Oreochromis niloticus: one gene and its partners. The protein of the gene in region 2 interacts with the protein of the main gene of each other region in a pairwise test. Links are inferred from orthologs where the notes say so. Each region holds a gene or a part of one and is shown on either strand. Other genes may lie near its edges. The genes, in order: pom121, RNA-binding protein with multiple splicing, dtx2 and heyl.

Region 1 (7,879 bases), on a different chromosome or scaffold from region 2:
ACTCTGGATGGCATTTCTCCTGGTGCCCGGGGTTCCTCTTGGGGCATGAGCTCCACTGCCAGAGCTGATTGAGGATGTCCGAGACCTCTTCATAATGGACTCCTCAGTCACTGAGGTCATCCCTCTTTTCAGACTTCCCGGCCTGGGAAAGGGAAAGTATTTCTCTTAATGCACAGGTAGCACCACAGTATACTTCACCCTGTACCACAGGTTTTCATAAGACATGATCTAACAGCATGACTAGTAGAAAAGTTTAACTTACTTCGGAACCAGCTGTGACGGCGTACCATTGGGCAAAAGGGGTTCAAAAGCAGAGTGTGCACTTCCACCGCTGTCATTACGTCTTAGGAAGTAAAAAATTAAAACAAATAAAATGGAAAAAAAACAACAACCATTTATTATTTTTGAAATATAGAGAAATAGAGAAAATAGAGATAGAGAAAACCTATGTAAAATGTGCTGTGTTAAGTTTTAGTGATATTTCCAATTTTCTTGCCATCCTTCAGTAACTCAAAACTGCATTTGAGCTCCGGTAATGTATTTATAGAAGACTTTAAGTCCACATTTGTATCTTGTATTAGCATGTGATCTGTATCTATTCAAATTATTGGGGAAAAAAAAGGGAAGCAATGAATACAGCATTATAATGCAGCTGTTATATGCATTCACAAGAATGCAAGGCCTTATGTGGGAGTGTATACTTTGTTGGAACATTACATTAGAAGAGTGAGCTTTACAAGTGCACCACAAATGGACTGGGAAATGGTGTTAATAGGAAAAAGCTATTCATCCATTCTGTTTGCAGCTGTCCGTAAAGCTAAGAGACAGAGACAACTGAAAGCATCAACAGGCAGTTTTTCTGTAGCCTTGCTAATAACCACACTATGTATTACCTACAGACCAAGAAGGTTTAAACAAAACACATGATACTTTTTGTGTCTTAGGTTTGCTGTGTGAGTACAGTAAGTTCTTTTTTTCCAGTCTATTTTTTAAATTTATTTCAGTTTAAATGTTTTTATACCTACTTTTAGTTTACTATAATAACCTTACAGCTATCAGACAAAACAAAGTGTTGCCAAACTACATAAAAAGGCAAATATAAAGCTTGTCAGCATTCATGTGCTGCCTCGTACCTTCTTTTGCTTTTCTGCTCAGTTGTAAAGCTCCTGTCCTCGTCCTCCACTTCTCTCTTGCGGCTTTCCTTCAGCACCTTGAGGACACTCTCTCTGGAGCACGGATCGGCAGGTGCTCTGGGGAGAACGGCATAACTCAAATGGTCCATGCTGAAAAAAAATAAAGCAATCAAACACAAAAGTCAGAGCTGCCGACAACACACAAATCAGGGATTTACTAAGCGTTGGATAAAAAGAAAGGTAAACAGCCATTGCAAAAGTTGTATCAAAAGGGTTTTGACATTAATCTCTTAAAACAGGTTATGTTAGAGTTTAAAGAGATCTGATTCAAGCTGATGATCTAAACTGAAACACTGTAATGCATAGATCATGCAGAGACCTGGGGGAGCTGTGGTCAGGCCTGGCGATCTTCACTGTGACAGGACTGAGGGCAGCCGGGGAATTGCGAGGGCTGAGGATGTTTTTCTTTCTGAAACCGTCCCATTTGACGGGAGGAAGGATTCCCACTGACGAGACACCCGGCTGCTGCAGGGGGTAGTGGCGCTGGGGTGTGATGGTGAACCTGCTCGCTGCTCCCAGTGTCTCCCTGCAGGACAGAACAATTAGAGGCCAAGGCAAAATGAAGGGTCTTAAAGTCTGTTTTTCGTCTGTGTTTTTGTAATCCCACAAATGGCCATAATAGATTTTTATGGGAAAACCCAAACATATAATACTCACTAATATTACAGAAAACGTGAACTGTTGTTCCTGTCTCTAATATTTCATGTCAGATACCATTTGTCAGTCTCTATAATGGTTGGGGCGATAGCGGAAATAAATCCCATTATTAGGTAAAAGTCTAATGCTTTGTTTTGCTTTCTAAATACATTATTACATTGCCAATACAGCAAACCTGCTAAATATGCTTTTCAGCTCCAAAGTAATTTATATGGCCGACAATTCAAGTTTTCTATCATAACTGTTCACAGATTGGAAATGCCGGTACTATATTAGTAGTAAATTACTGTAATGGGAAACTTTTGCACATGACTTAACCTGTACACATATATACGTATAAGGTTGCAGTAACGTGTAGCACATTTGGATAGCTGTGTGGAGCTACAGAGATCGCTCTGACGGCTCAAAGGTTAGTCATTAAAAACCGCCAAGCTGCACCTTTAGCCTTTTGAATTCCAACAACTTAACCGCCTCCATTCAAAAAGAACGGGCTGTATTACGCCGGTAAAACCGTGATGTGATTGATTTGATTTTAGCCTGAACATACCCAGCAAATGAAAGCCTTCTGTTTGGAGTATAGACGGCATGGTTGGGTCTGGCTAGCTTTTCCCGGAGCTGCTCTCGGGGATTTCTCACGGCTCTCCGCCTCCCCGAGTCGGCGGTTGGGCTCTCCGGTTTCCCGATGTAACTCCCCATGAGAAAATCCCGGGGGCTGAAAAGAAAAGACTCGCTTGATAAGGATTCCTTTCGATAAACGCCGCTTTCAGCGAGTCTTTGTCTTAAGTGTCCTTCTGATTCCCGGAGCTCGGCTCTGTTGCTGTCGCTGCTCTTCGCTCTCCCCCGTGCGGGTACCGAGACGCCGGTCGCCTCCCAGCTCCACAGCCAGCGCCGCACTACGGCCGGAACGTTTAGCCCACCCCGAGGATTCGGGCCTAACCTGGCGGGAAGCGGTTCTCCGCTATGATAATAACAGGCAATACAACAAACTGCAAGAATTAAGGTCACATAAAGAAAAGTAGGAATATAATAAAAAGCGAGAGTAACTAGGCCTAGAGCAGAGAGAAGCAATAAATGTTTTTCTCTAGGAGACATGGCGGCAACGCGCCGCCGGAGGACTCTCATATCCCATCATGCTGTTCTTCCGACATTACTTCTTGGATTTATATTTGTATTCACGCGCATTAGCGCCATCTACCGAGGTGGGGCTGTTAAACGCCGCCAGTGTTACTGCTCATTAAATTAATCTTCCTTTTGCTGAACCTAGGACAAATGTAATGTAAACTGTTGTGTAAAACATATGTATGATTATTATTTTTATTTTTTTGCATATTCGTCACACTTAAATGTTTCAGATCATCAATTCAATTTTAATATTAGACAAAGATAACTGGAGTAAACACAGCATGCAGTTTGTGAAGGGGATCCTGATAATAGTTTGGGACTGGTCAGGGATGAGTCTTTCCAGGGTCTGACGTGGGAAGTCAGTGCCACAGGCCTGTAATCCTGGGGGCCGCTGTGACGTCTTCCACACTGGGACCCTCTGCGGGCTCAGATTCACCATGAACAGTTAATGAAAGACTCCACAAAGCTGGGGGCACAGGCCTTGAGGACAAGGGGACTCACCCTGTTTGGTCCAGCAGACTTGCCTGAGTGGAGTCTTCTCTGTTCTCTTTGAACCTGGTCATGAGTGAAAGCGCTAGGTGTGGGAGGGGTGTCAGGATTTTCATAAGATTTTATGGTGCAATATGGAGAGAGAAGGAGAGAGAGTGGCGTGGCTGTGGATTGCAGGTTAACTACAGGTAGGTCAGTAGGGGGGTGAGCATTTACTGCAGTGTCGAATCTGTTAAAAACGAATTCAACTCATTGGATCTGCCCTCATTCAGATGCTGAGTCTGTAACCGGGCTTTGGCAGAGTGGATAATGTCAAATGCAGCAGTGGGGTTAGAAGAGAGGGGAACATAAACAGCCACCAAGATTACATGGGTAAATTCCCTGGGAAAATAATCCGGCCTGAGTCCAACAGCGCATAGTTCAAAAATCACCAAACAACAGTGGACCTTTAAATTTAGATTTGCCATACTACTCTTCTATTTACCTAGACAAGACCACAGACAAGTGTTTTTAGCAGAATGTTAATTTTTATTTTGTGATATTATTTAAACATGTTTTTTCTTGGAAGGAGTACGATGAGGACTTTGGGATGGAGATAATGAGAGTGAGAGCAGGATATATGAAGGAATGTTGGTGAATCATTAGTAAAGAGGAACTGAGGGCAGCTATGAAGAAGATGAAAGTGGAAAACCAGATGGTCCAGATGACAACCTGTGGAGGTATGGAGATGTCTAGTAGAGCGAGCAATGGACTTTTTGACCAGACTGTTTAACAGAGAATGCCTGGATGAGGTCAGATACCTGGGGTTAACCATCCAAACCAATGGACAGGGCACAAGAAAGGTGAAAAAGAGAGTGCATGCAAGGTAGAATAGGTGGAGGCTGTTGTTAGGGGTGATTTGTGACAGAAGGATAGCAGCGGGAGTAAAGGGTAAGATTTACAAGATGGTAGTGAGACCTGCTATGATATATGGCTTGGAGCTGGTATCACTGAGAAAAAGATAGGAGGCTGAACTGGAAGAGAAACAGCTAAAGATGTTAAGATTTTCATTGGGAGTGAGCAGAATGACAGGATTAGAAATGAGAATATCAGGGGGGCTAAGCAGTTTGGAGACAAAGTTAGAGGCAAGTCTGAGATGGTTTGGAAAAATGCAGAAGAAGGGACAGTGGATATATTGGACAAAGGATACTGAAAATGAGGAAGAGCACAGAGAAAATTCATGCATAGGGACTGGTGTGACAGAAAAGGAGGCTATGGATAGGGTGAGATGGAGGATGCACTGTGGTGCCCCCTAAAAGGAACATCTGAAAGACGAAGAACAAAAAAAGAGGATAAAATGTTTTTCTTGATTTGAAATAAATCAAACACCATATTATGTCAAAACATACAACAAGGAAAACAACAGAAATTATGGCCTCCCTGAGATTTATATTCATGAATATGATTGTCATTACTTCAGAGAATGTCACAGTTGGTGTACAAAAAGAGGTATGAAAGTCAATTTAACTCTCTGAGTCTGATCAAATCACTACCCTTTCAGCTTGTTCGTGGCCAAAAGTGGCCACCTACAGATTAGGTCTGTAATTTTTATTATTTTTGGTTTTTTGCCATTTTTTCTGCATAAAGCTTTTAAGTAACTTCAGTTCTTTCCATAAATATAAAATAATTATTACTTTTTTATTTTTTAACCCTTTAAACACCAGTTTGTTTGTCCACTGCACCAGCTGGATGACAACCTCAAATCTCGCAATTTTATATAATTGCATTGCTACTGAAATTTCTTGTATAGAGTCTGGGGCATATAATTGATTCACATCAACACTGATTATAATGCATTGTTATTTTAGTGCAGAGAGAGCAAAAACATAAAAACTCCCTCTCAGACTGTTCGTGGCCAAAAATGGCCACCCCTTGTTTACATTTACAAAATGCTATAAAATTCATATATATTAAGAAAAATGTCCAGTTTTTTTTACATGATTTTTTAGATTAGCATCAGGGCTGTTCATGAAAATCACAATTTCATTAAAATTCTGAAATTTAACCCTTTAAATACTAGTTAGAGCACATAATCATAACAACTCATAAATAGAGAAAATCATAAAATCCCAGTTTTTTTTCTAAATAATACATGCCATCTGATTTATTTGCTAACCATGATGAAGGTTAGATGCATAGCAATAATTAACAGCATCAATGACATTTATGCAACATTGTTTTTTTCTGCAGTGGCAGAAAAACAAAAAAACTCCCTCTCAGACTGTTCGTGGCCAAAAATGGCCACCCCTTGTTTACATTTACAAAATGCTATAAAATTCATTTATATTAAAACATTTTTCTACTTAGACCAACTTCATTTTTAAATGAAAACCAGTCCTAGTCATGAAAACCAAAATATAATTCAAAATTAGAAATTATACCCTTTGAATACCAGTCAAATTATATGTTACTACTATGTTTTTGGGGGGGAAATAGCAATAAAGTTCAAATTTTTTCAGCAGTTGAATGACGAAACCTTTTCTTTTTTTTTTAAATCATTGCAGGTCAGTGCCAGTAACAAAAATAATAATTATTAATATTAATATTTTGTATTATTCCTGTGAGTAATGACCCCAATAAAAGAAACTCCCACCTTGTTAGTCATGCCAAAAACGGCCTTTTATTGCTTGTTTGTACAAAATACATCCTCTTTCTGTGTGTGTGTGTGTGTGTGTGTGTGTGTGTGTGTGTGTGTGTGTGTGTGTGCGCGCACTCAGGGAAGGCAGGACACGCAAACCACAGCAGAGTGATCTTTGCAGACACTCTTTCCACAGCTGGAGCAAGTGGTTGCCGTTCTTCTTCTGTTTATACACAGTTCGCACCTTTTCCTCATTTTGTTGATGGGCTGTGGGTCATACTCTGATTCTGATTCTGACTGCTGTATCTCAGCAACAATAGCAGCGGCTGCTTTTGAGCGTGGGGCACAAGGCCGTCTTGCAATTTCTGGAGTCACCAGCATGTGGCCCAGCTCCTCCAGGAACACCCTTCGTTGGTGGGTCTTGGTGGACTCCCACTCAGGATGCACTGCTTTCCACAGGACAAAGGCACTGTATGCTGAGACGTCCAGAAGATTGTAGAACAGAGCCAGTGGCCAGTGACTGGTTTTCCTCCGACAACTGTAGGTGCCAACAACCTTGTCTAGGTTATCCACTCCACCTTTACACCTATTGTAATCAAGGATTGCTGCTGGCTTCTTCTTTTCCCCATCACTGACTGCTGGTTCCCTATGCTTTGTGCTCAAAAGAAGCACATTCTTCCCTCGCTTGGGCATGTAGGAGACTGCCATGGTTGTTTTGGTGAAGGCAAAGAGAGATGAAAGAATCTTCCTCTGTCTCAGCTGAACAAGCTGGGGAGGGAGCTCTGGTTTGTTTCTCCTGATTGTGCCAACCAGAGCTAGTTTTCTTCTGAGCAGCTCCTCTGCCAAGCTGAATGATGTAAAGAAGTTGTCACAAGTGACAGTGTGTCCTTGGAGCCCCTCTGTCAGTTGTAGCACAACTCTCATTCCCTGATTAACTTCCCGGGAACTTCCAGGTGATTTTCCTGTGTAAATTTCCATCTTCCAAGCATAGGAGGTTGCCACATCACAGGTCACCCAGATTTTAATGCCATATTTTGTAGGCTTCTTGGGCATATACTGTCGAAATCCACATCGACCTTTGAATCCAACCAGCTGCTCATCGACACACACGTCAACTCCTGGATTGAACAGCAGGGGGAGACGAGCAACCCACTTTTCCCACAGGACGCGAAATGCAGCAAGCTTATCGTTCCTGAAACGTCCCGGGCGGGTGAGCTTGTCATCAAAGCGGATGTTAGTGCTGATCTGGGAGTAGCGGTAGAGGGGCATTGTAGCACGGAATACTGCCCGTCCGGTCTTGTCAGCCCACAAACCACGCGATGCCTTGAGCGGTAGACACCAGCGAGAATCAAAATCCCAATGTACGCTCTCATCTCCACATCATCCACATCCCTCCAATCCTCACACTTTCGCCTCCCATGCAGGTTTGTGTGGGTGCACAGCAGCTGAATGATCTCTTCTGTCACAAACAGGTCAAATGCAGATCTCAGGGTGCTAATGCGGGCAACTGCATACAGGGTGGGCCCTGGAGTGATACCAGTGGGTACTGGATTGTAGCGCATGGTCTCCTCAGCAGTGGGAAACCACTCAATATTCCCAGAACGAGACATCCACTCAGCCACCGGCGCCCCGGCGTCTGCCGCTTCTTCCTACCGTCTCTGCCATTAGCCGCTCTGCCTCGACTGCTGTCTCTGTATCATTCTCACTTGCTGAAGAGGAATCGGGCACTGGATGGTAATCCTCATCACTGGTAGTGATGCTGTCATTCTCTGAGGAGACTGAAGAAGAAGCCTCTTCTTCA
Region 2 (7,656 bases):
CTACACTGCCCAAGAGGAGGGGCGGAGAGCTGCTGCTGCTCAGCATGTGAGAGTCATACCAGCAAGGCTGTTAAACTTTGGCTCTCTTGAGGTTATAGTTTATGGTTACCTCTGTGGTGTTGTTGCTGGCATTTTTATGCTTTCTGCATCAGGTGAAGGGACATTTGTGCAGACCAGACTTTCATGCAAAAAAAACCCCAAAACAAGTCAAACTAAGCCAAAGCGTGAATTAGTCTGAGTACATCCGCACGGGCCTGCAAAAAGCTTGAATATGTATCCGCGAGTGTGACACACTCCCTGCTCCTCTGCATGCAACACACACCGTTCCACAAAAGATAAAGTGGTGCTGTCTGACCTTAACGTTAATTCACCCAAGTAAATTTAAGTCCCTGCCGGTCTGGATGGCTTCCAAACATTTCCAAAACCATTAGATCTCTCTGGCCATTAGTCTCCTTTTTACGTCTCTGTCTGCCTGCCTTTTACACAACCTGCGTCTCATCTCTGAGCTTATGGACATCACAGAATTTTTAATAGCTGGGTAGAAGTTTGAAGCCTTGTGTCTTTGTTAAACTACAGCTAACATGGCTTATTTCCTGGTAGACCTATCCTGCAGTTGAGACCTTTGAATAATCTGACGCCCTCGTTTAACTGTTCAGTCTTACAAAATGATCCGTAAGCGGCGTGACTGTAACCGAGTGTCACGAAAGCAAAAAGAAAAGAAGCCAATCCTCACATTTTGAAAGCTTTCGTGCTTTAATATGATGAGTCGCTCATAAAAATGAGCAACTAAACATTTCAGCTACAAAAAGCTTGTGTTGATAGTAACAGATCAAGTGTTTTTCTTGTGTTTTGCCCTATTTTGGTTTAATTATAGCTGTGTTGTGCTCAACCTAATTCAAAACAGGCAGGTACTTAAGAAGGTGCTTTAGACAAAAAAAACTCAAGTATTTCTCTGGCGTCAGCTTCTGAAATGTGAGTATTTGCCACTTATGAGACTTTTAATTCGACATGTTTGCAGTTTGTACAGTTAGATGGTCATACACAGACATCTTTTGGTGCTGAGTAGTCATCTTTCTTTAGTTGAATATGTTCGTTTTACACGGACTAGTAGCTTTTTATTCGATTCAATAACAAGAATACCCTCAGGGCCATGTACTGGTTACAGGGCTCTGCTTGACTGACGTATTGTTAGTAAAAGGAGAAGGTGACGAAAGCTTTAAACTCAAACTCCCTAACCTCAAGAAATCAGCTCTTTGGTCTTTACCTCATCTGTGTGGTGCTACAGCAGTTCCCCCGCATCCATAGTAACCTCAACAGTGGACCAAATATGGTATTACATAAGGCTGGCTATGTCTCACTATTCAGTTACAAAGTGTCCAACGCTACACTGAGACCTAATCAAATTGCTCCAAGAGAAATATCTGATATAATCTGATACACCTTCCTTACATCACTCGACTGCGGATGTGCGGAGCTCTGAAATAACAAATCTGTCATTTGAAGAGAGATTCATCCGAGCCAAAGAAAATCGCCTCATGCAAAGAGAGCCGTTACAGGCTTATTTACCAAAGAGGAGATATTGTTGGGCCGGATTGTGCAATGTTTACAGAGGAGAAAGGGAAGAAATGAGGCTATTATCCTGCACGATAGAGAGGAAACATACTTTGAGAGCATGTTAAATGGATTTCCACCAAATGTTTTTCTTTTTTTTGGGGGGGGGGTAAACAAAGCCATTCTGTTTGTGTTTAGATGTAATTAGAAGAGGCTATTCTTGCTCCACTGTAATGCAGTGGGCTCTCTGTTACAACCCGTTATTACCTACATGTTGCAGCAGCAGTTGTTTGAACTTCAATTGCTCCCTCAGCTTCAGTGAAAACTAATTCGCCCTGGCTCTGAATTCCCTTTACTACTGCTTTCCAGTGCTGTGTGAAGTCTGGCTTTATTGTACAGTAAGACACAGCTAGCAATGCCGTAGCACAGCCAGGAAAAACACAGTCCTGACTTCAAAGTTATTCGAGACTTGCTAGTTAGTGATTCATCAGTGCTTCATGTCCTTCCCTGTTCTTGCTGCTGTTTTTAAAAAAAAAAAAAAATGACGGCTAACTTCAACAAGTCTACAGTACAATTTAAAGAAAAGTAGAGGAGAAACGTAAAAGTGAAGACGGGTGAAGAATTCAGTGCAATAACAGCGCATTACCTGCAGGAAACCGGTGATAGATGGTGTTATGAGCGAACCATACAGTCGGTCTAATAATGTAAACAGCAATACTGGAAACTTTTATGAGGTAAAACCAGATTACGGCACAGAAAACAAACAAACCAGCATAAGAGCTACACCTTAATGAATACAGGAGTGGAGGAAAAGAAGCAGTCGCTGTTAGCATGACTCGGTTTTTATTAAGGATGTCATTACGGGTCAAGGAGCCACCTACAGTATCACAGACAGACGCTCGAGCACCTCGGGCTCGCATACGTACCTCCTCCTCGTGGTTGGTGAATTCACTCGGCTCGTTTTCTTTCTCGGGTTTGTTGTTATTCATTCTGAGCGGGACTCTTTCTCACTTTCAGTCGGACGGCTCTTCTTTTCTTTCCTTGTTTCCCCCTCCTCCTCTTCTCTCGCTCTCTCTCTCTGAATCTGTTTCGCTCTGCGCTTCTTCTCCAGGACCCACAAATTCAAAGCACCCCTCCGACAGTCCGCGCGCGAGCCCGCTGTCCCCCTACTGACCCGAGCTTCCCACTAATTTGGCCACATCAATGATGACAGATAAACCTCATTAATTTTTTATATATATACATATATATATAATTACAATAATTCGCTGCGGCTGATGTTGCTGTTGAGTTGGATATTCCGCGGCATTCCCTGGAAAGCCTTACTTTTCGTCTTTTTTTAATTAGTATTATTTTTCCAGAGCCTCTTGCAGTTGCTGTTCCCCAAATGAAATACAGTAATGTTCACCGGACCGCGCCGCGAGCAAACTTCTCTACCCATCTCCTGCGTGCAGCAGGGGAGGGGAGGAAGAGAGGGAGGCGGAGAGCGGAGGGGAGGGAGGGGTTTGGGGTTGGTTGGGTGGGATGCACCCTCTGCTCGGCTTTATCAAGATTTATCAAGTGCTGCAAGAGCTTCAGTGGAAAATCAGTACCAATCACCCTTTGGACCACATGAATGTCATTTCTGTCACCACAGCACATATTCTCATATGTCCTGGTTTAATTCTTTGTTTTGTTTTTCATCAGCTGCTCTGGGCCTTTATTACACGTGCATGTTCTTATAATGTGTGTTTCTTATATATTTACTCAATGTCAGAGGTGTCAAACTCATTTTACATTGTGGGCCACGTACAGCTAACTTTGATCTAAAACTCCTCTTTCTGTCAGCCTATAGAAGTTTAACCACACATTTAATCCCATTTTTGTTTTAATAAAAGAAATATGTGCAAAAAATAAAATTACACAAAAGGTTCCGTTAGCTGTGCAAGAAATGTGGTTATGTTTGTATTTATTTATTTATTTATTTATTTATTTATTTATTTTTACTGTGAAATAAACACAGGAACTTGAACCAGATTGGAGTCTTTGGTGGATCTATTCTGGCCCCTGGGCTTTATGTTTGACACATCTGCTCTATGTTTAAGTTTTGATATTTTATATGAAACCAATTAAGCATAAAGCCTGGAAAAAGTAAAACCAGTCCCTTCAAATGAATCTAAATTGAAAAACTGATTTTCCTCACACTGTGTATGAAGAATATTTTTTTCAAAAGTGTATTTTCTTTTTGTTTGGTAATGTCCAGACGTTTATTAGACCTCTTGATAACATTAATAAACAAAGTATGGACACAAAGTTAAAACCATACTCAAAGTATCTGGGAAAATCACAGACTGTATATAAAAGATGGCACCAAACACCGTGACATCACACTTTGGTTTGTCGGCTTTTGTTATGAAGCGTCAACTTTAGTATTACAGCTGTTGCCATCTGGTTCATTTGGAACCAGAAGTGACTACATTAGCTGTTCTACTTTAGCAGCTGAGTCTAGTTAGTTTGGTTAGCAAGGTGCATAGACAGGGTAAAAGATGGACATCACTATTGTGGCGTCACCCACAAGTCTGAAGCGTCGAAGTAACGATAAAAAAAAAAAAATCAAAACAGATGTGACGAGGAGGGGCGGGTCTGGCCGTGAAACCGCTTGCTTATTGGAATCATAACTATTTACTCACAAGCCATTAGCCAATTAGCATAATCCTCCACTGCAAAACATGAACAAGGTTTACAAAATAGACTTTATTTATTATTCAATATGAAGTGAAACGGGTGACTTAGCCTATAAACCCAGAGATCAGAGCAGAAAGCTGTTTTCTGATAAACGTGTGTATGACACAAAGTCTTTTTGCAACCACAGCTATCACCACCTGGTTGCGTTCAATAGAAAGCAGATTTAAGGCACTTCTGCACTGGCTTTATTTTACAGAGACAGAAGCTACATTCATGTTTATGGGTGCAGCCACAGGTTGTAAGGGATTAATCACATAGACACAGGTACTTGTTAATTAATAATAATAATAATGGATTGCATTTATATAGCGCTTTTCGAGACCCTCAAAGCACTTTACAATTCCACTATTCATTCACTCTCACATTCACACACTGGTGGAGGCAAGCTACAGTTGTAGCCACAGCTGCCCTGGGGCAGACTGACAGAAGCGAGGCTGCCATATTGCGCCATCCGCCCCTCTGGCCATCACCAGTAGGCGGTAGGTGAAGTGTCTTGCCCAAGGACACAACGACCGAGACTGTCCGAGCCGGGGCTTGACCCGGCAACCTTCTGATTACAAGACGAACTGCCAACTCATGAGCCACGATCGTCCAAAAATAACATACAAAAGGATGTACAATTAAGAGAATCCACACTATCACTGGATAAATGTATAAAAAATGCTCCAAAGGCTCCAACACTACAAACATGGACAAAAGGTCAAAAGGAGTTCATGGAGCCTGGCTGACACTGAGCAGCCTAGTCAACCACACACTTAACTGTAAGCTTTAAAACAATGTAAACTGATCAAATTTATTTACAAAATTCAGCCTCTGTACAGTTGTTATGTAGGGAAAATACCTTTTTTTTTTAACCATGTGTTTAGTTTTGTAGTAAATTTGGGCCATTTGACTAGAAGTCTGCAGGGACTGACTCACGTTTGAAATCAGCCTCAAGTGGACATTTGAGGAACTGCATTTTATGACTTTAAAATTTGACTTCAAGGTTGCTGTTGGGGATTAAATTCAGTTGAAATGATTCAGCACTCAGCAGTACTACTACATGCATGTTTATTGTCATCCCCCCCCCCAAAAAAAACAAAACAAAACAAAAACACACACACACCTATACATGTGAGATGTTCTAGTCACTCCAACACTTTTAAGTCTCACTCACATTCACACCTACAGGTGCTTTTAGGACTGCCTGACCTGCACGCCTTTGGACCGTAGGAGCGAACAACAGCACTTGGACAAGATGAAAACTCCTCATATAAAAATGAATCACCAAGGCTCAAAGCCAAAACTTTATTGCACCGTAGAAACAGCGCAAATCAGCACACTGCTGTGGCACTGAAAGTACACGAGGCATGTGAGATTGTGTCCCGTCACAGTCTTTTATAATGAGTCTTTATATATTGGTGCTCGACACATGAGCAGCCTTGTATAACCCTGAAACAGCCTACCCTGATCAGTAAGCAGCTATGACTCGTAGTATATTTTTCATATGTGTCTTCATGTTGCTATATAGTTTTATGCACCACAGTTTTAAAGTCACTGATTTTACTGTATGTCTATAACCTGTTGACTGATTAACCAAGTTGCACTGCAAACATGGTGAGCATAAGATGACTTGTCACCCGGAAAGGCATGCACACTCAGGACTATTTCTCCCCTCTTGAAACACAGAAGTCAGCAAAATTCATCGCCTGCAAAGCAGGAGATGCAGACAATTATCAACCTGACTGCTTAATAAATTTCACGTGCCTCTCAGTTCATCAGTTCAAGGCCTCGGAGGGGTTCTGCCGTTTCAGCCGAACGGTTCTTCTCACCCGTCTCCGTGTGGATTTACAGTGAGTAGGCCAGGTTGAAAACAAAAGAGGAACTGGAGATAACACCTGTAAAATGCTCAAGATTGGGGCGTGATTAGTTGCGCCACTTCATAGTGAGCTCACCGTCTATGACCTCAGAGTGCAGGGGTGAAAAAAAAAACAGCTAAATCCTGGAGGTGTGGAAATAATGTTGCAACAACAACAACAGGAGAAATACTAAAAGTTAAAATACTAAAAATGTCATTGGCGTTGCCTGCTGTTGTCTACGGTGAGGGCTGCAGAACAGCCTTAAAAGCGGCGATCAGGTGACAAGGCAGCCTCGAATTGTTTTTACCGTTTCAAAACATTTATTTTGAGCAACTGCCTCACTTTGTATTCTGCCGTGAAAAGTTCAGGAGCTGACAGCAGCTCCGTCGTGGGGACTTTGACTATATGTTGCGTGACACTTATTGCACAGGACAGGAGCTCGCTTTTTTATGACAGCCTGCGCAGAAAAGAGAGAGAGTCTGTCTTTTTTTGCTGAACTTGCACCTCAAAAGCAACAAAAGAAGGAAAAAGCAGTCGTCGTGGATGGGTCGTACAGATTCCTGCTCTTTCCCCTCCCTGATCACGTCTGTATCAATTACGCCGCGTCTGAAGCGTGCGCGCCGAAGAAGGGACACGGCAGAGTCTTTTTATGCTGATGAGAAGCGGCTGATGGGAGAGGGAGGAGGGTCTCGGAGCCTTCGAAGCAGATAAAAATGGAAATGTTCCCCTTTGCTTCTCGACACCCCTGTATCAAAGCTTCCAGCCTGAGTCTGGGGAGCAAGGAGGGGGAGGAGAGGTAGGAAGGCGGAGGAGAGGATGGGATAGGAGTTGAGGCGGGGTGACGGAGAGAGCCGGGTGGGGGAGATGTCCCAGCTGTGTTTGACAGGTCTCAGGGCTGAGCTGTGTGGTCTGATGCTCGGAGAGGGAGGGTGCCCACCACAATAAAAGCACACACACACACACACATACACAGACAGACAGACACACACACACATACACTGGGGGTTGGGGGGGAGAAAGAGGAGCCGGCAGGAGACAGACTGGTCACGGTGTCCTGGGTAACATGTCAGCAAGCTTTGACATGGTCCAGCCCAACGTGAAGATATCTCTGTGTTATCTAAGGGGCTGCTGGGTTAGCACAAAGCAACAATGTCAGGCAGGCTGCTCAGAGAAGCTTTGTTTCTTTAAGAGTTGATAAAAACAGAAATAACGTGCATATTAATCTCACTTAAAAGGACCCTGCCTTGTTGAAGAATTGGGGAAAGAAGGTCAGAACTAATACTTGAAAGCTACAATCAATCGGGAGTCAGTAAGGTTGGATCAGCATAAACATCATCTAACCCAGCTCTGTTTGAACCTGAAAAGAAAAACAGGCACCTACCAATAACTCAGTTCTTACCTATTATATTGGTTTGATATTTCACCACCTTCCCTGAAGTTCTTTTAAATGAGCCCTGCTGGGGAATTTCCTCAGATTCAGGTCTCAACAATGTCCGAAGACTTCTCGTCTCACATTTAAACACAACAGGAGTCTACTGAAAGC
Region 3 (7,863 bases), on a different chromosome or scaffold from region 2:
GAGTATGATGGAGCGCTAAACTAAATCCAGTTAAAGGGCTGCAAAAAGGCAACACTGACTCAGTGCTGAGGTGGTACTGGTCTATTTCTGTAGCCAAAGGGCTCTGTGCACAGAAGTCTGAAAGACATATTGCTTGAATGATTATGGGCTATGACAGCATGTCCGCAACTGTAAAGATAAAGATAGTAATACAATTGTTCATTAAGTTAAACATAATACAGTAACTGACCTTAAACTTTTAAATACAATTCAAATGAAAAACATAACAAAGGAATTAAAATAGAGGTGAGGATGATGGTGGATCCAGACTAACGGATGTTTTTGACCATGCAGTTCATGTTACAAGGGCACCCGCCAGGAAATTTGCTGGCGCAGATGGGGCGAAGCGAGCCCCAGGCGGCACAGTGACCCAGGAGAGCCACACAGTGAACAAAAGAGAGCTGAAGCCGACTGCCAAACTGTAGCAGAAAGTGAGCCAAGTTAAGAGAATCCCTTGTTCTGTGGTTCCGTGGTCGGATGGACTCCACAGACTCCTTGCTCTGGGATCAAGGAGCAGGGAAGAGGGAGAACACCACAGGCAGCCGTGACCCAAAAGGGTGGAGTGACTCAATGGACAGGAAGTTTGCAACATTTTTTTCAGTCATACAAGTCTTGGCAATTAAAGTACTTGAAAGGGAGTATTATGATGTACTATTACACAATAATGATTATTTTTTCCATGCATGGGTGCACCTCCTTTAGCATCCACACCCAGGAGTTAAAAAAATTGAATTAAATTAAACACATGGCAACCATTTCTCTTTGTAAAGCATACACCTCAAAGAGAAATGTGAAAGTGTGGGCTTTAGTGAATGTAAACATTCACCGCAAAAATGTAGGCAATTCTTTTGTCTACTGAGCAACCATGTTTTTAATACACTAGTTTTAATTTCTAGTGGCTAAAACTCAGCGTGCAAAAAAATTAAAGCCCAGAGAAGCTGCAAGTGAACTAGATATTTATTATACCACTGAATTAAGCAATTTGTCCTGTAAGTAAGCTTTCTCTGCTATCTGGAACAAAAAGAAGGGAGGTCAGTGATGACACAGACAAGAGTCACAGGAAGTGAGCCAAAGCAAACATACCAATGAAGTACTGGAGCTACAGATCTGTTTTTTTTTTTTCCGCCTTTCCTGTTTTACAAGAAAGGTCAACACTGACAGAGGCAGGAAAGACAAAGAGGAAGAGGAGGAAAGCAGATAGAGGACCTTGTAACATGAACCCTGCACATCTAACCAAACCACACAATTGAGGATAGGATAGGTGTCAGATACCAACCTTAACCCATTGGCACTGGTAGAGTTGGTCAGAGATGCAGAAAGTTGGCTGCCAGATGTCGGTGGAGCCCAGGGGCTGCCCCAGGACATGCCACCAACTGAGAGAGGTCTCCTGGGGTACGGGGAGTAGACAGAAGTGGGATGAGCCGCCACAGCCCTTCCTGTGCCTTGAAGACTAGGCCGGTTCAGACTCCCTGATGAGAAGGAATGTCGCGAACGGCTTGGCATGGGTCCGGTGCTGCTGTGGCTTAAACACTGCTGGCAGGAGCAGGCGGGGCCCGAGGGGATAGCTGGGGGTCCGGAAGAAGCCAGCGGGTAGGGGAGGTTGCACTGGCGTCGCACCTGGCGTCTGAAACCCGTCGATTTGTTAACCTGCGCCAGAGATGTGAGATCCACTATATAATTGTATCCATGCGGGCCCAGGTCTGCTGTGCCTTGGCGAGCCTGATAGCTGTGCTCCAAAAGGATAGAGGTTCGAGTCTCATATGGGGTCCATCCTCCTTCATCATTGGCCCATTCCCAGTAAACACCACTACCAAGGCCGGAGGACTGGGCAAACAGAGACCGGCGTACTGACCGGGTCTTACCTAAAAATAAAAGAGGCACATTGATTTTTAGTGAATAAACTGAATGAAAACTGCAAAGTTGTGTGTGTGTTTTGTTTTTAAGACATAAACGAAAAGCCCCCTGTTCATTCACTTGTATGCCAGAACTAATGACACATTACATATATGACTATAACTCAATTTAAAACACACATACACACACACAAAATTATGACAGTTTAAGACACTCCAAGCATCTTTACATGTTAATCTCACAATGTTGTGACGTATTTCAATGATTTGTAGCTAGGTTCACAGTAAAAATCTCGCTAAAGAACTGTAACTTTATGCATACTTCTCAGCTTACATCAATCAAAACAACAGCGCCCCTGCAAGCTAATGCTAGCCGGCTAACGTTACAGCCAACCGGGCCTGTGAGGTTTGAGGCAAAACCGTTAACGAGGAATAAACGTAAAGGTCATGCCATGACGTGTTAGATATGTTTACCTGTGTCCTGTCGAAACTGCTTCAAGCTTGGTATGTCAATGAGGTAAGGCGACAGGCTGGGGTCTGATTGTCCGAGACAGATGCTCGTAGAGCCGGGTGCTCCTCCTCTGTGGCCCCGCGGTGACAGACACCGCTCGATGTAGGCGCTCACCTGGCCGCTGTAAGGCCGCCAGTAGCCCTGGTCATCCTGCCATTCCCACACCGCTATCATGGGCTGAGACTGCCCGACGGATCCAGAGGGTGTAGCTGACACAGGAGGCCCGTTTCTAGACCCGTTTACCCTGGCACAGGACCCAGACACAATTGCCATATTCGCCAAAACTAGCCCTAAGCTAACAACAACTCGTTCTGGTTAGCTAGTCAACCGATTGTGGCTGCGACGAAGACAAAGTGTGCTAGCTGGGCTAGCTTGGCTCGTTAAAAAATTCCATTATGAATGTGTTAACGCGCCTTTGAGGAAGTTATGAGGTAGATATCAATTGGTAGACGGCCCAGATAAACACCTAAGTACATGTTTGCGAAGCTGATGCATTCACACGGCTTAGCAGTACATGGTTAACGTTAGCTTTGTTGCGGCGTTGCCAGGAATCCGTCCTTCTTCTGCCGCTGCCTTCAGGGACCGTCGGTAATATCACCACTCTCGTCTCAATCTGAAACAGAAAACGTACATAAACCGCTGGTTCCCCTTTCTGAAAGCTATATTTATTTTAGACCACAGTGACACAGACTATGAGCGTATTTAATATCCTTTTTTTGTTGTGATTTTTTGTTTTTAATTCGGTTTCCGGAGCTAAACGTGTCATTTCAGTTTTGTTTTTATTGTTTGAGAATGCTCAGTTTTAGTGTATTTTTCATTAATTCTTTAGGTTAAGTATTAGATTCACTTTTTATTTATAATGTAATGGGTGGTATGCGTCAGCGGCAAGATTTAGGGCAAAAATACAATACAGCGATAAAAATACTTGACACAGAGACAAGCAGACATTCCAGTATCAATAAACACAGGCACCAATGCCCCATCACAAAACTTTTATTTTATACTAAGAATTTAGTAAGTAGGTAATTATTGCTTCACTTAATTATTTCTTTTCTAAAGTCTAGGCTTTTATTTAAACTCAACCTTTTTCCCCCTCTCACACCTAATTTCAGTTTTTAATTTGGTTTAACTATAATAACCGTATTATAATAATATTCACTCTTTGTAACAAGGGGCCCGTATGTGTGTAAGTGAAATCTCATCAAATACATCTAATGTCTTTTTGTGAAATAAAATTGTGATTAAAATGTTTCCAGGTGACATCTGGAGCCCGCAAAGATCTGGGATTTTTTTTCTTTATCATCTCAGCCGATAACACGCAGACAGTCTTCATTCCTTGGCACAAGTGGTGGTGCAAGGTGATGATTTATTTAAGGCATTGCGGGGGTGGGGGTTGGTAGTTCTTAAGGTGGAGCACCATTTCTCATGTCATCTTTGACCAATACTACAGCAGATGACTAAAACAAAAGCTTTTTGTGCACACCTCCTCACCTCTAAAATTTTCACTTACAAGGTGCGCATGAAGGTTGCATTCTTCTTCTTTCACACTATCCCCCTCTTCTTTCCCTGCTTCTGTATTCAAAGGAGATTAGAACCCCCTCAGTAGTATTTCTGCCCTCAACTGGAGATAAATGGGTATGACACAAATAACTGCATATGAAAACCTACCAAACGGCCTTCTAAAACCTCAGGCTGGTTGCTTGAGTAATTACTAATTATTTACCAGACACCACTAAACTGAATGCTGCCCAAAATTCCAGTGCTAGCACAGGTATAAGACTAAAGATGGCGATAAATGGCTTTGTGATCCATCTGCCACACAAACTAGATTATTACTGGATCTAGTTTGTAAGGATGGTGTTCATTAAATTCGGCTACGTGATAATAGAACTAGACAGTTCTGACACCAGTGTGAACATTGATTAAAGTAGTGGCCAAATGGGATTTGAGCTTTCCCCTTAGCCCATAAAGTGACACATAATCAATAGCCAAGTCCATGCCAAGTAGTTTCAAAGTGACAAATGTAATAATAATAACTAATAAAGACGAGGATCTGATGTTTCAATATAAAAAATAAAACCATTCATCTGTGGTTTTTCGAATGTAACTAGAACACATTGTCTCCACACGCACGCACAAAAAAATGACAGTAAAAAATGATGCAAGCAGCCATTATTTGGTTTGAAGACGGAGTCAAATGATTTAGCAGTGAGAACATTGCTTTGAGTCATCTTTTCCCGAGGTCTGCTCTTAAAGTCCTGCAGTTTAAATGTTTTCAGATTTATCAGTGTAAAATAAATTTATTGCATCTGATGTTCTTATTATTTTTTGTCTTTGTCTTTCGTGCAACAAGAAAACAGAAACACTGAAATGATCTCAAGGAAGATTTGCAGTCCTTATGCCCGTATGACATAGATTTATAAAAAACAGTTTCTATCTGTCCACACAGTTTTGGTTTTATTAGCTGAAGTTGTGAAATATGCATTTGAGATTTTTTGCCTTCTTCCTCATGAAGGTAACTGGAACTTTGTTTGTGGTGCCTGCAGCAATAAGAAATGACATTTAAAAATTTAACAGGAACAGAAGCAGTGTCCCTGCAATAATCCACAGGCATCACTATGATTAGGTTTCTAGGGGCGGTTTTCTCTCTTTCTCAGCCCACTTAAACAATCCTGGTTGTAGCTGAAGGTCACACGCTTCTTAAAACTGAGAAAATAGAGTTGAACGAGAGCCACAGTCCATTACCGTGATTCTGTAAATAAGCAAAATAAATTTTTAAAAAGCAAACTTAGGCACAGTGACGGACTAGTTTGTGCCTGTGACAGCAGGGATGGGCTCCAGCATGCCTGTGACCCTCAGCTGGATGAGAAGTTAAGAAAATGGAATAATGGAGCAAAGGAGCTTAAAGCTCCAGCAATACTTTTAGAATACAGAACAATTTAATTCTTTGACAGACGTGTTTTGACTTGGGGCCTTCATCACGGTCATCACAACACAAATTACAAACAACATTTTAAGTAGAGGCGAAAGGATGAACAAAGCTGCCCGCTTGGCAGATATGTATGTGGATGCATGTCTGCTGTTTCCTGTGATACAGGGTCAGAGTCTTGCACTTAAAAAAACATTTTTAATCATTAAAAAAATACAATTAAAAATGATTTTGTCACGACTAGAAGATGAACCTGCTATCAAAATGCAGGTAAAAAGACCACCTTTCAAACACTACTTTTCAAATTATTATTATTAGTTTTTTGAGTTTTCTCCAGTGAATTATCAGAAAACACATAAAACATTCACAAACATTAAATTAGTTTTGCTATTGAAACTATGATATATCTCGTGATGCTCAGAAATTGTTATTGAGGTCTTGAATATACATGACCACAAACCACACATGGTGTTAATACACCACTCTGCATTTAATTATGAGTTATTATTAATCTCAGGCTCTCATCCACAGCATGTCTTTTTTCCTGTCTTCCTCCCCTCAGCCCCAAACAGTCACAGCAGATGGCCCCGCCCCTCCCTGAGCCTGGTTCTGCAGGAGGTTTCTTCCTGTTAAAAGGGAGCTTTTCCTTCCCGCCGTTGCCAAAGTGCTTCCTCACAGGGAGTCATCTGATTGTTGGGGTTTCTCTGTAATATTTTAGGGTCTCCACTGTACAATATTAAGCACCTTGAGGCGACTATTGTTGTGATTTGGCACTATATAAATAAAACTGAACTGAATTGGAATTACTGTTAACCATGTCATGTAGGATGTGTGTCAATCAGTGTAAGATTGAGTGAATAAGGCCCCAATCAGATAGGCCTCGATACCTGTCTGCAACCATCTGGTAACCACCCGTTGCTAAGGAAGTTGCACCTTTTGAGACACGTTGGCTGCACCTCGAGGCACAGATTTTCACACTTTTTCAAGTTGTACTACCACTTTGCTACCAATTATATAGTATTTGAGGCAACCATACAATCAGCTAGCAACCGAAGATTTTTGATGCAGCACCTTCTTTGCAACCACTTTCACCCAGCGAGCACTAGCAACCTCCAGCTACCACTGCCATTCAGCGGGGATTAGACATTTTCTGTAGCAAACAGTAGTTGCATAAGGTATAGCAGACAAAATTTTAAAAAATGTGCTAAACAAAAACTAGATTCTTGCTTTAGATCGTGACATTTTGATTATGTAATGCAGTGTAAGCATCTCCAGTACTTACAAGATAATGAGGATACAAAAATGCTGGAAATATTCATGCAAAATAATGCAATTATTAAAAGCACAACATTTAGACCCATCGCTCTGTAGTCTACTTTGACAACATGCAATTTGGAAATGCCATTAACAGCTGCATTGGTGCCATTCTGTATGCAAACTTGCTTATAGGATTTACAGCTTTAGCATTATCATGGTGTGAGCATTTATTACATTAAACATATACATAAAGGTTATTAAATAATGGCTGATGTTTCATATTTATCAGGTTTGTGCTTGTACATTTGATATTAAGAAAGGATCTTGGAGTCTTGATTTTTACTCAGCCACTATGAAATAGTCACCTACACTTATCAGTGTTAATAAATCATGGATTTCATAATTCATCAAGTCTGCAGTTGTAAATGCTAATAAGCAGCTTACAAATGGATTTTGGTCCAGATGTCTTGCAGACCTTTACAAGAAGATAAGTGATCAAATAGTCAGTTGTAAGGGAGAATTAAATAGCAGAGGGCTGTGATCCATGAAGGATTTGATCACAAACTTGCAAGCTTAAACTGATCTGTTGGGTATGGGAAATGTTGCATTAGCCATTTCTACATCTTTAAATACTGTTTAAAAATCCTGTGAACAGATACAACTATGCACACTTTTTACATGGTATTTGTTGTGGCAGTATGTATGCTGCCTCATTTGATATACAAACAAACCCAGTTCTGAGAAAACTGGGACACTGTGTGAAAAAAATTAAATATGATACAATAAATGAATAAATGAATGCAATGGGTTGAAAATCTGATTAACTCACACTTTGTTCACAATGGAACAAAAAACCCCACAGAAATCAAATGTTTAAACTGAGAAAATGTGTCATGATCCTGGGTCCTTTTGACCCAGCGTTTTGTGTTTTCTATTATGGTGATTTTGGTTCTGTTCTTCCTCTGTTTAGTGTTTACTCTGTTCGGCCCGTGTGTGTCCTTGTATGTGTAGTTCCTGTTTTATTGTGAAGGTCTGTGTCTTATGTCAGTGTGTTCTGTTTACGTTTTCCCCTGCCTCGTCAGTTGTGATGTCTTCCAGGTGTGTTCCCCTCCTGTTTCCCTTCCCCTGATTCCTGGCGTGTGTATTTATAGTGTGTGTTACCTCGTCCTCATTGCTGGTTCATCTGTGTTGTTTCCCCTCAGTCTCCCTGCGTCTCTCCATGTGTATTTCCCCGGACCTCCCTTCATCTTCGTTTCTGGTTTGTTTTGTTAGTT
Region 4 (7,008 bases), on a different chromosome or scaffold from region 2:
AATGACAGAAAGCTGCTTAATCTTTTAGCTTTATTGTCTAACTATGACAAAAAATATCATCATCTCAAATTCATTCCGTACCTGTTTTTCAAAAGCGCTGGGCACCAGTCTACGGAGCTCTGACAAGCTGTGGTTGATGCGGTCTCTGCGCCTCTTCTCTATGATCTGCATAAGAAAAAAAAAAGCAAACTGAGTTGCAGACCCAACTGAAAAAGAGACAGAACCGATTAACATCCAATGATCTAATCCACTCACCCCTCTTCTCTTCTTTCGAGCCAGAATCTGCGAGGCGCTGCCTGGAGACATGGACCCGGTGACTGGGCTGTACCACAAAGATAGTGTTGAAGCAAGAGAGCGAGATGAGTAAGAAGGGACACAGAGGAAAAAAAAAAGAAGAAAAAAATCATTTGATTTTCCTGCATATTGTTATTATTACCCTCCTTAATATGACACAGAAGCAGGATGGCACACCAACTCCCTTCAATCTAATTTGCTTTTTGGGCACAGAAAAGCAGAGCAGTGCCCGGGAGAGGAGGGAAGATGAGATTGTTTTCACTTTAATGCATTTCTGGACATTAGTCTCAGTAAAATGACATGCTGTTCTCCTTTCCGTCTGAGCAAAAGCACTTTTAGAAAAGATGATTATATAGCCTCGAGGCGATGCTTGCGCTCACATGGGGCTCCAGCACGCTGCAATGGGAGCATGAGCTCCTCCGAGTACAGTCATCCAATATGGATTGTGTTTGTTTGTGAACTCTCATCTTACAGGCCTGAAAGAGACTCCGAGCCTCACAGTTCCCTCCAAACTGGCCCGCTAGAGACTTATTGCGTTTCTATTAGATTTTAACATGAGGGCTGCCAGTTTAGCTGTGTGTTTTTGTTTAGGTTTATCTTTGATGGGGTTGACATGAAAAGGCAGCGCTGTCTTCTGTTTGCATGTCACATGGCAATTTAATTTATCTAAACCGTCTTTAGCGTTACTGGCTCGCTCAGCGCCTGTGATGTAAGCAGCACTGCTGGGAATGAGTTTTTGTATACTGTTACAAATACACTTTAATGACTGGCGCTTTGAATCCAAATGTCTTTTAATGCTAAGTCAAGGAATTTGACTAATTTATCTAAAAAGCAAAACGCTTTAATGACTTTAAAATAGAGTGTGCAGCGTTCAGAGTAATTTTACTGTTTATCGGGCATTTTCCACAACAATGGAACAAGTTACATGCAGTGGACTGCGCTTAATCACCTTGGCACTGCAGGCCGCGTTTGCATTCAAAGGTTAGAAGTTTTTTTTTTCCTCTTCCAGAAGTATTTTAGCATTTAACCAGCCGTTATAACTGTGTAGTTCACATTTTTTATCGGATTTTTCCAGTGCAAAAGCAAGATTTCAGTGTTGGGATTATAACTTTACAATAAAAGCTGAGAAAAACTCATTTGTTTGTGAAAAAGCAGTTTTTCTATGCCTGAAAATGCAGTCTTGGAAATGCAGCAGAAATGTGTGTCTGACACAGACGAGGAGATCTTTCATAAAGTTGCTAATTAAATAACACACTGTTTGCATGGAATAATAAAACTAAACTCATGTGGGAAAATGCACTTTTTTCATATTTAATGTGACGTAAAATATTAAAACTATTTCAGGGTTGTTTATTAAAAAGCAACTCATGAGCTTTCACTTGTGTTTCTCATGTGAAGAAATTTTCTACATCAACTGCAGACATTTAATTTTAAGACGTCATGCTATAATCATTCACTGTGGTTCAAATCAATTAATTTGTTATAAATATACATACATATATAAATTAATATTCCTGAGTGAATGACTTCCTGCTCATGTTTTCATCTCCTGTGTTGACACTGCAGCGTTGACAGGCCTTTTTTGTTTTACATGGATGTCACGCATGCAGCTTTTTCGACTAACCCCTGCACTTGCATGTGCAACAACTGCTGTAAAGCCTCTGTTTTACACAGAAAGTGAACACTGTATATCTTACCTATCGATCTAACATAAATCTGTAATATATCTGCTTTTCTGAACAAGAGAAATTCGCTGACTTGAGCCTCAAACTTAGTTGACACGTCAGTTTTTACACTGACATCACTGAAGCGGTTTTTAAATTTGCTTAAAGATTTATAACATACAAATTAAACCGTGTCAAGACTTTAAAAAAATAAAAACCTTTGCACCTGAATGCAGGAATCTTTAAATAATAAGAAGTTCTATTTTGCTGTAATTGCTTTATAAACACAACCTTCTGGGACTTCAAACTTTTCCCACAGTCTTTTAAACTCGTTACTGCGCAGCAGACTGGAAAACATGCTCGGGGCAAATTTGTCTTTAACTTTGTCTGCTAAATACAGCCGCGTGCCATGTAATTTTCTTTTCAAACATGATTGGAGGGAACGTGTTACAATCTCAGGTGTAACTGAAGGAGGCTCACCAGTAGCTATCTTCTTGGCCCACGTCAATGAACTCGTCGGTGTCCGAGTCCGGGGAGCTGTAATCGTGAGGTCTCTTCATTTCTCTGCCCCTTCCTCACTGGCTGGAGCGATGACGTCTGATGACAGAAGGACGAGGAGACTGACAGGTCTGGCTGGATGATCTCGTTGGTTCCTGTCTCTGCTGCTTGTAGAAGTCTCCCTCTGGATGAAGCACTCACCCTGCGTGCCCCTCACTCTCTGCTTCTCTTGCACAGTTACTTATAAGAGCTCTGTTGTCCTTAGTTACTTCTTGTCACTCGTGTTTGTTGTTTTCGCTGTCGTCGGTTCTTCATGCGTCTTCTTTTTTTCTCTCTCTCTCTGTGAGTCAGTGGTGCCACTTGATCAACCCCCAAGGGCCCATGACAACTAAGAAAATTCACAAGCTGCTTTAGTCTTTTACTCTATCACTGTCATCCAATCATAGTCTCTCTCTCTCTTTCTCTGTTATTTCTCTCTTGGCTCGCTCGCTCTGTCACAGCCACCCAATGACAAAACAGGACTTTGGCAGTTTGGGCAGGGTTGCCAGTTTTGGCTCCCCCGCCTCCTTTCCGTGTCCCTCCTCTCTCCCTTTAATCTGCCCTTCTCTGGCTTTTCACCCTCCTTCCCTCTCTCCCGCACCCCCCTCGGCCTCATCTTTCCACCCCTTTGCTCAATCATCCTCTGTCAATTAGCCTCCAATTTCATCCTGCTTTCCTTCCTTCCTTCCTTCTGTCCTGCTTTCTTTCTCATTCTGCTCCTTTAATTATGCTGTTCCATAGAACAATGGCAGCAGGAGGGAGAGCGAGGTGAGGAGTGTGGGAATTATGAACTGTGAAAGCACTCCATCATACAGAGGCGATACACAACATCTGATACTCGCACAGTCTCACGAGTCACTTTTGACTCGAGTTCTTGAGCAATTTTGTTTTGTGAGAGGGAAACGGCACAGAGTGAAAACACGCCTGCAGAGATGAAACGCAGCCAGCGCCGACCTTTGAGCACCACAAATGATACAAATAGAAAAGTTTTGTACTTGTATAGAAGGATTTTGTGAGAATATTTAAGCTGTGTCAGCAGTTTAACTAACAGTGTTGGCTGTTTTTTGCTCTTGTTTTAAAAGGTGACACCTAAAGTACCTAAATTATTATAAGAGTATACCGTAGGGATTTACAAGCAATGCCAATAATTTATGATCATCTTTGAAAATACAGCTTTTATCAAGCATCAATCTCCAGTGCGACAAATAATGTCAACAAAGTTTTAGAAAACTTCAAAAAAAATCATATCACTGTGTAGAAGAGATGGACATACCGCTTTGTGGTTGTTTTATGGAGCCAGAACTGAGCACACAGCAAAGTGCTAAGCTATCAGTTAACACTGACAGTTGACATTTATGAAAAATTGCTATGAAAGGATAAAAATAAGCAATAGTAAGCTACAGAAAGTCTCTGGTGGGACAGGGTTTTGGTAACAAGCTGTAAATTTCAGAGAGTGAGTGAAATTGGTGTTGATTTTTTCAATTTGGAAATCCACTATAGACTGTATAAAAAAGATAGACATAACCACTGTGACATCAGCTATCAGTTCACTGCTACAGGGTGGATCTGACTGTGAAATCAAGGGTCAGAGTACCAGAGTACCGTCTTCCTTTTTTACTCTAATAAAGACAGTAATTTATGCCAAAAATGTAATGTTTCCTTCATTGACTTGAAACTAGCAACGGACCCCAAAAATTACCAGGAAACTATTTATGAGTAACTGGAAGTCTTTTTAAAGAGTTGCCCCTGCTGGCCATTAAAGAGACTGCAGAACCCAGAGGCTATGCCCATCGTTTATATACAGTATATGTAAACTATACACATAGATGTGTGGGTCTAAAACATGCATCTTGCCAACTGATGCTGCTAGCGTTATCTGAGGACTCAGCATTCCACTTTCTCATCTAAATATGGTCGGTTCTGGCAACAGTCGAACAGCATAAGCAGGCTTTAAAACAGTTATCCAGAAATAGTGGGATATGTAACCATTTATATATTTAAATATCCAACTAATTATACATCTGTCTTTCATATGCATTCTATGTCAAGATGTAGATTTGTCACTATCTTTTTGAAATTACAGCTTCAAGTATTTCAAGATAAGAAGTGAGGCACAGATAAACCCAGCTTATTCAAATTGTTTTTATTCAGCCTGTGTGTGCAGAGATGAGGGCAGGTACTGAAGGGTCAAGGAGAGAAGTCACCCCACTGAGTGTCTGAACATCTGGGCTCTTCACTGGACAAGATAGCACTCTCTATACGCTCACACTCACACACACAGAGCTCACTCGCGGCACTTGTTTCCGCTGCCACCGTGGGAAGATTGCTGGTGCAGATTGCCATGGAAACATGAGACCCAGGCGCCGGTTGTTAGGAACGATGCCTAAGTGACCCAGCAGTGTGTGCATATGTGCATGTGAAAGACTGCGAGAGGCCAAGTGGCATGCCCTCTTGCACACAATGCCCAGCTGAGGGTGTCTCTTCCTGCCTGGCAGACTGGAAGGGTGTGTTAGTTTAAACATAGGCTGCGACAATGAATGAGTGCGAGGTCTTTGTGTATACTAGTTGGGCAAGTGAAGTCGTTTTTAAAACTTTAATTTGGTCATCTTTTAAATGGATTTCCAGTAGTCTTTATGTTCTTTTCCGCTTCATCTTGCTCAGCGTGACGACAATTGAGCCTTTCCTACAATCATTTTTGTCATGTCACATGTGTAAAGTAGTGGAATAACTTAAAACATGTGCAAGTGAGTGTGTTTGCAATAGCCAAGTGTGAGTAATCAGTGTGACCATCACCAGGGGGCTCGCAGTGTGGTGGATATGAGTCAGGACTAACAGAGTGGAGAAATCCCTTTTCTCTCCCAGCAAACAACCCCCACTACCCAGTTCACATATCCTTTCATTACTAATCATTCTCTAATTCAGATCTGGATTTCATTTCGGCATCAGAAAACTGGGGGAAAAAAAGATAAAAAGACATCTATGAAGTCAGCCTTCAGTGTTCTGTATTGCTATTTTTATCACCCACTCTTTACTTCTCTTCAAAGATTTACTTTCCCATTTGTATCGCACGTCTCTTTAAAAACAAGAGAGAGAGATCGCTCTGGTTTGCCGGCCACAGCGCCCAGCTGTTCCAAGATGAGGCAAGTTACAAGAAAAGAAAAAAAGGGAAAAGGAATGAAAAGTAATTAAGGAGATAAATGAATAAATAGATATATTAATTATGAAAATGGTTTCATGGTGGGGGCGTGTGCGAAGGAACGGTAAAGCCAACATAAGAGGGAGAAGAGAGCTGGCACTGGATGGTGGGATGGAATTCTGGGAGATTTCTGGCGATCTTGGTCGGCCACTTCAAGTACTCTCCCTCCCATCCCACCAAACCACAACAAGGCAAAGTCCCTTATTGAAATTAACAAGCTCATACTTTTACAATTTGCATACACACGCACACATGCGCAACTCAAATATGAACGTGTGAAGGCATGAGGACGCGCACGCACGCACACACGCGCGGGAGGCCACGCACTGATTCATACAAGCTAGCGCACACACGAAACTCCCTCACACGAATGTGGACAGCACATACCCACAATTTATAAGGCACAAACACTCAGCTGCAATTATTCTTTCTGATGCATGACTGCTGCTATTGTTTGAAACTCTGTGAGATGGAACAAGCTCAGCGGGGTATTTTGTTTGTGACTTTTTTCTCCACATTTTTCAGTCAAACTAAATAACTGATCACTGATACGTCTCACTGCATGGTTTGCTTTCATTATTTGTACTGTACTGTGTTTCAGTAACAGTACACCAACTTTATTTCACTTTTTCTATTTTTTTTTTGGTCAAATGTAATGTTCATGCACCAGTTTGAAAACAAACAAAGGGAGTTAAACCTGCTGAAAAAAGAAACACGAAAGTAAAATCCTATGTATCATAAATCTGAAGGAGGGTCTTTTTAATGCGTTTTTTAAATTTCTAATAAAAGTGAATATTTGGAAACGATGCAGATTTTCTAGAAAATTTGATTAACTATATGCAAATCAAAAGAGTGCTGTGTTATTATGTTAAAAAGTAGCAGTAAAATATCAATAATAAAATGTAAATCTTGCACATAGAACAAGCTAAAAAACGACACCTTCACATTCACAATATAATAATAATAATATAATATCTTATTCACAGAAACTGGAAAAGAAACAACAAGAGAACAAAGGAAAAACTCAGATGTGCAAAAATGTTTTTACCGAAATGACTCTGATAACGCTATACTGATACTGACTGCTATAATAGTGTGCTACAATGATGTGATTTGATAACACATGTAAAATTTGTGTTGAAGAAATGTGAAGTGTCTTAAATCACAAGTTATGCAGCCCAGCAGGGGTGACTTCTCTGATTAAAAAAGGGCGAAAATCTGACCTAATTTCTCACTTGATTGATCTCAGTAAACCCTTTTCTACAGCATGATCTCATTGGCTAGTTTTAGGTTTTGTTCCGTTTTTTTCATTAAAAA

Evidence for each region.
Region 1: the proteins of RNA-binding protein with multiple splicing (region 2) and pom121 interact in binary tests that used the Homo sapiens proteins (3 or more experiments, as listed by UniProt). The two-hybrid records come from large-scale screens. The link is inferred for Oreochromis niloticus from reciprocal best matches to the Homo sapiens genes RBPMS and POM121.
Region 3: the proteins of RNA-binding protein with multiple splicing (region 2) and dtx2 interact in binary tests that used the Homo sapiens proteins (3 or more experiments, as listed by UniProt). The two-hybrid records come from large-scale screens. The link is inferred for Oreochromis niloticus from reciprocal best matches to the Homo sapiens genes RBPMS and DTX2.
Region 4: the proteins of RNA-binding protein with multiple splicing (region 2) and heyl interact in binary tests that used the Homo sapiens proteins (3 or more experiments, as listed by UniProt). The two-hybrid records come from large-scale screens. The link is inferred for Oreochromis niloticus from reciprocal best matches to the Homo sapiens genes RBPMS and HEYL.

The regions. Positions count from the first base shown.
Region 1 is NC_031975.2:24,313,468-24,321,346, forward strand, and holds the start of pom121 (nuclear envelope pore membrane protein POM 121), read right to left. Parts: upstream 3,008-7,879; 5' UTR 2,973-3,007; coding exon 2,398-2,972; intron 1,720-2,397; coding exon 1,513-1,719; intron 1,284-1,512; coding exon 1,134-1,283; intron 344-1,133; coding exon 263-343; intron 143-262; coding exon 1-142. UniProt on the Homo sapiens protein: Essential component of the nuclear pore complex (NPC). The repeat-containing domain may be involved in anchoring components of the pore complex to the pore membrane. When overexpressed in cells induces the formation of cytoplasmic annulate lamellae (AL).
Region 2 is NC_031967.2:14,331,533-14,339,188, forward strand, and holds the start of RNA-binding protein with multiple splicing, read right to left. Parts: upstream 3,006-7,656; 5' UTR 2,541-3,005; coding exon 2,478-2,540; intron 1-2,477.
Region 3 is NC_031975.2:27,654,101-27,661,963, reverse strand, and holds the start of dtx2 (putative E3 ubiquitin-protein ligase DTX2), read right to left. Parts: upstream 3,004-7,863; 5' UTR 2,677-3,003; coding exon 2,367-2,676; intron 1,902-2,366; coding exon 1,316-1,901; intron 1-1,315. UniProt on the Homo sapiens protein: Regulator of Notch signaling, a signaling pathway involved in cell-cell communications that regulates a broad spectrum of cell-fate determinations.
Region 4 is NC_031985.2:27,787,421-27,794,428, reverse strand, and holds the start of heyl (hairy/enhancer-of-split related with YRPW motif-like protein), read right to left. Parts: upstream 3,008-7,008; 5' UTR 2,519-3,007; coding exon 2,439-2,518; intron 323-2,438; coding exon 256-322; intron 166-255; coding exon 82-165; intron 1-81. UniProt on the Homo sapiens protein: Downstream effector of Notch signaling which may be required for cardiovascular development. Transcriptional repressor which binds preferentially to the canonical E box sequence 5'-CACGTG-3'.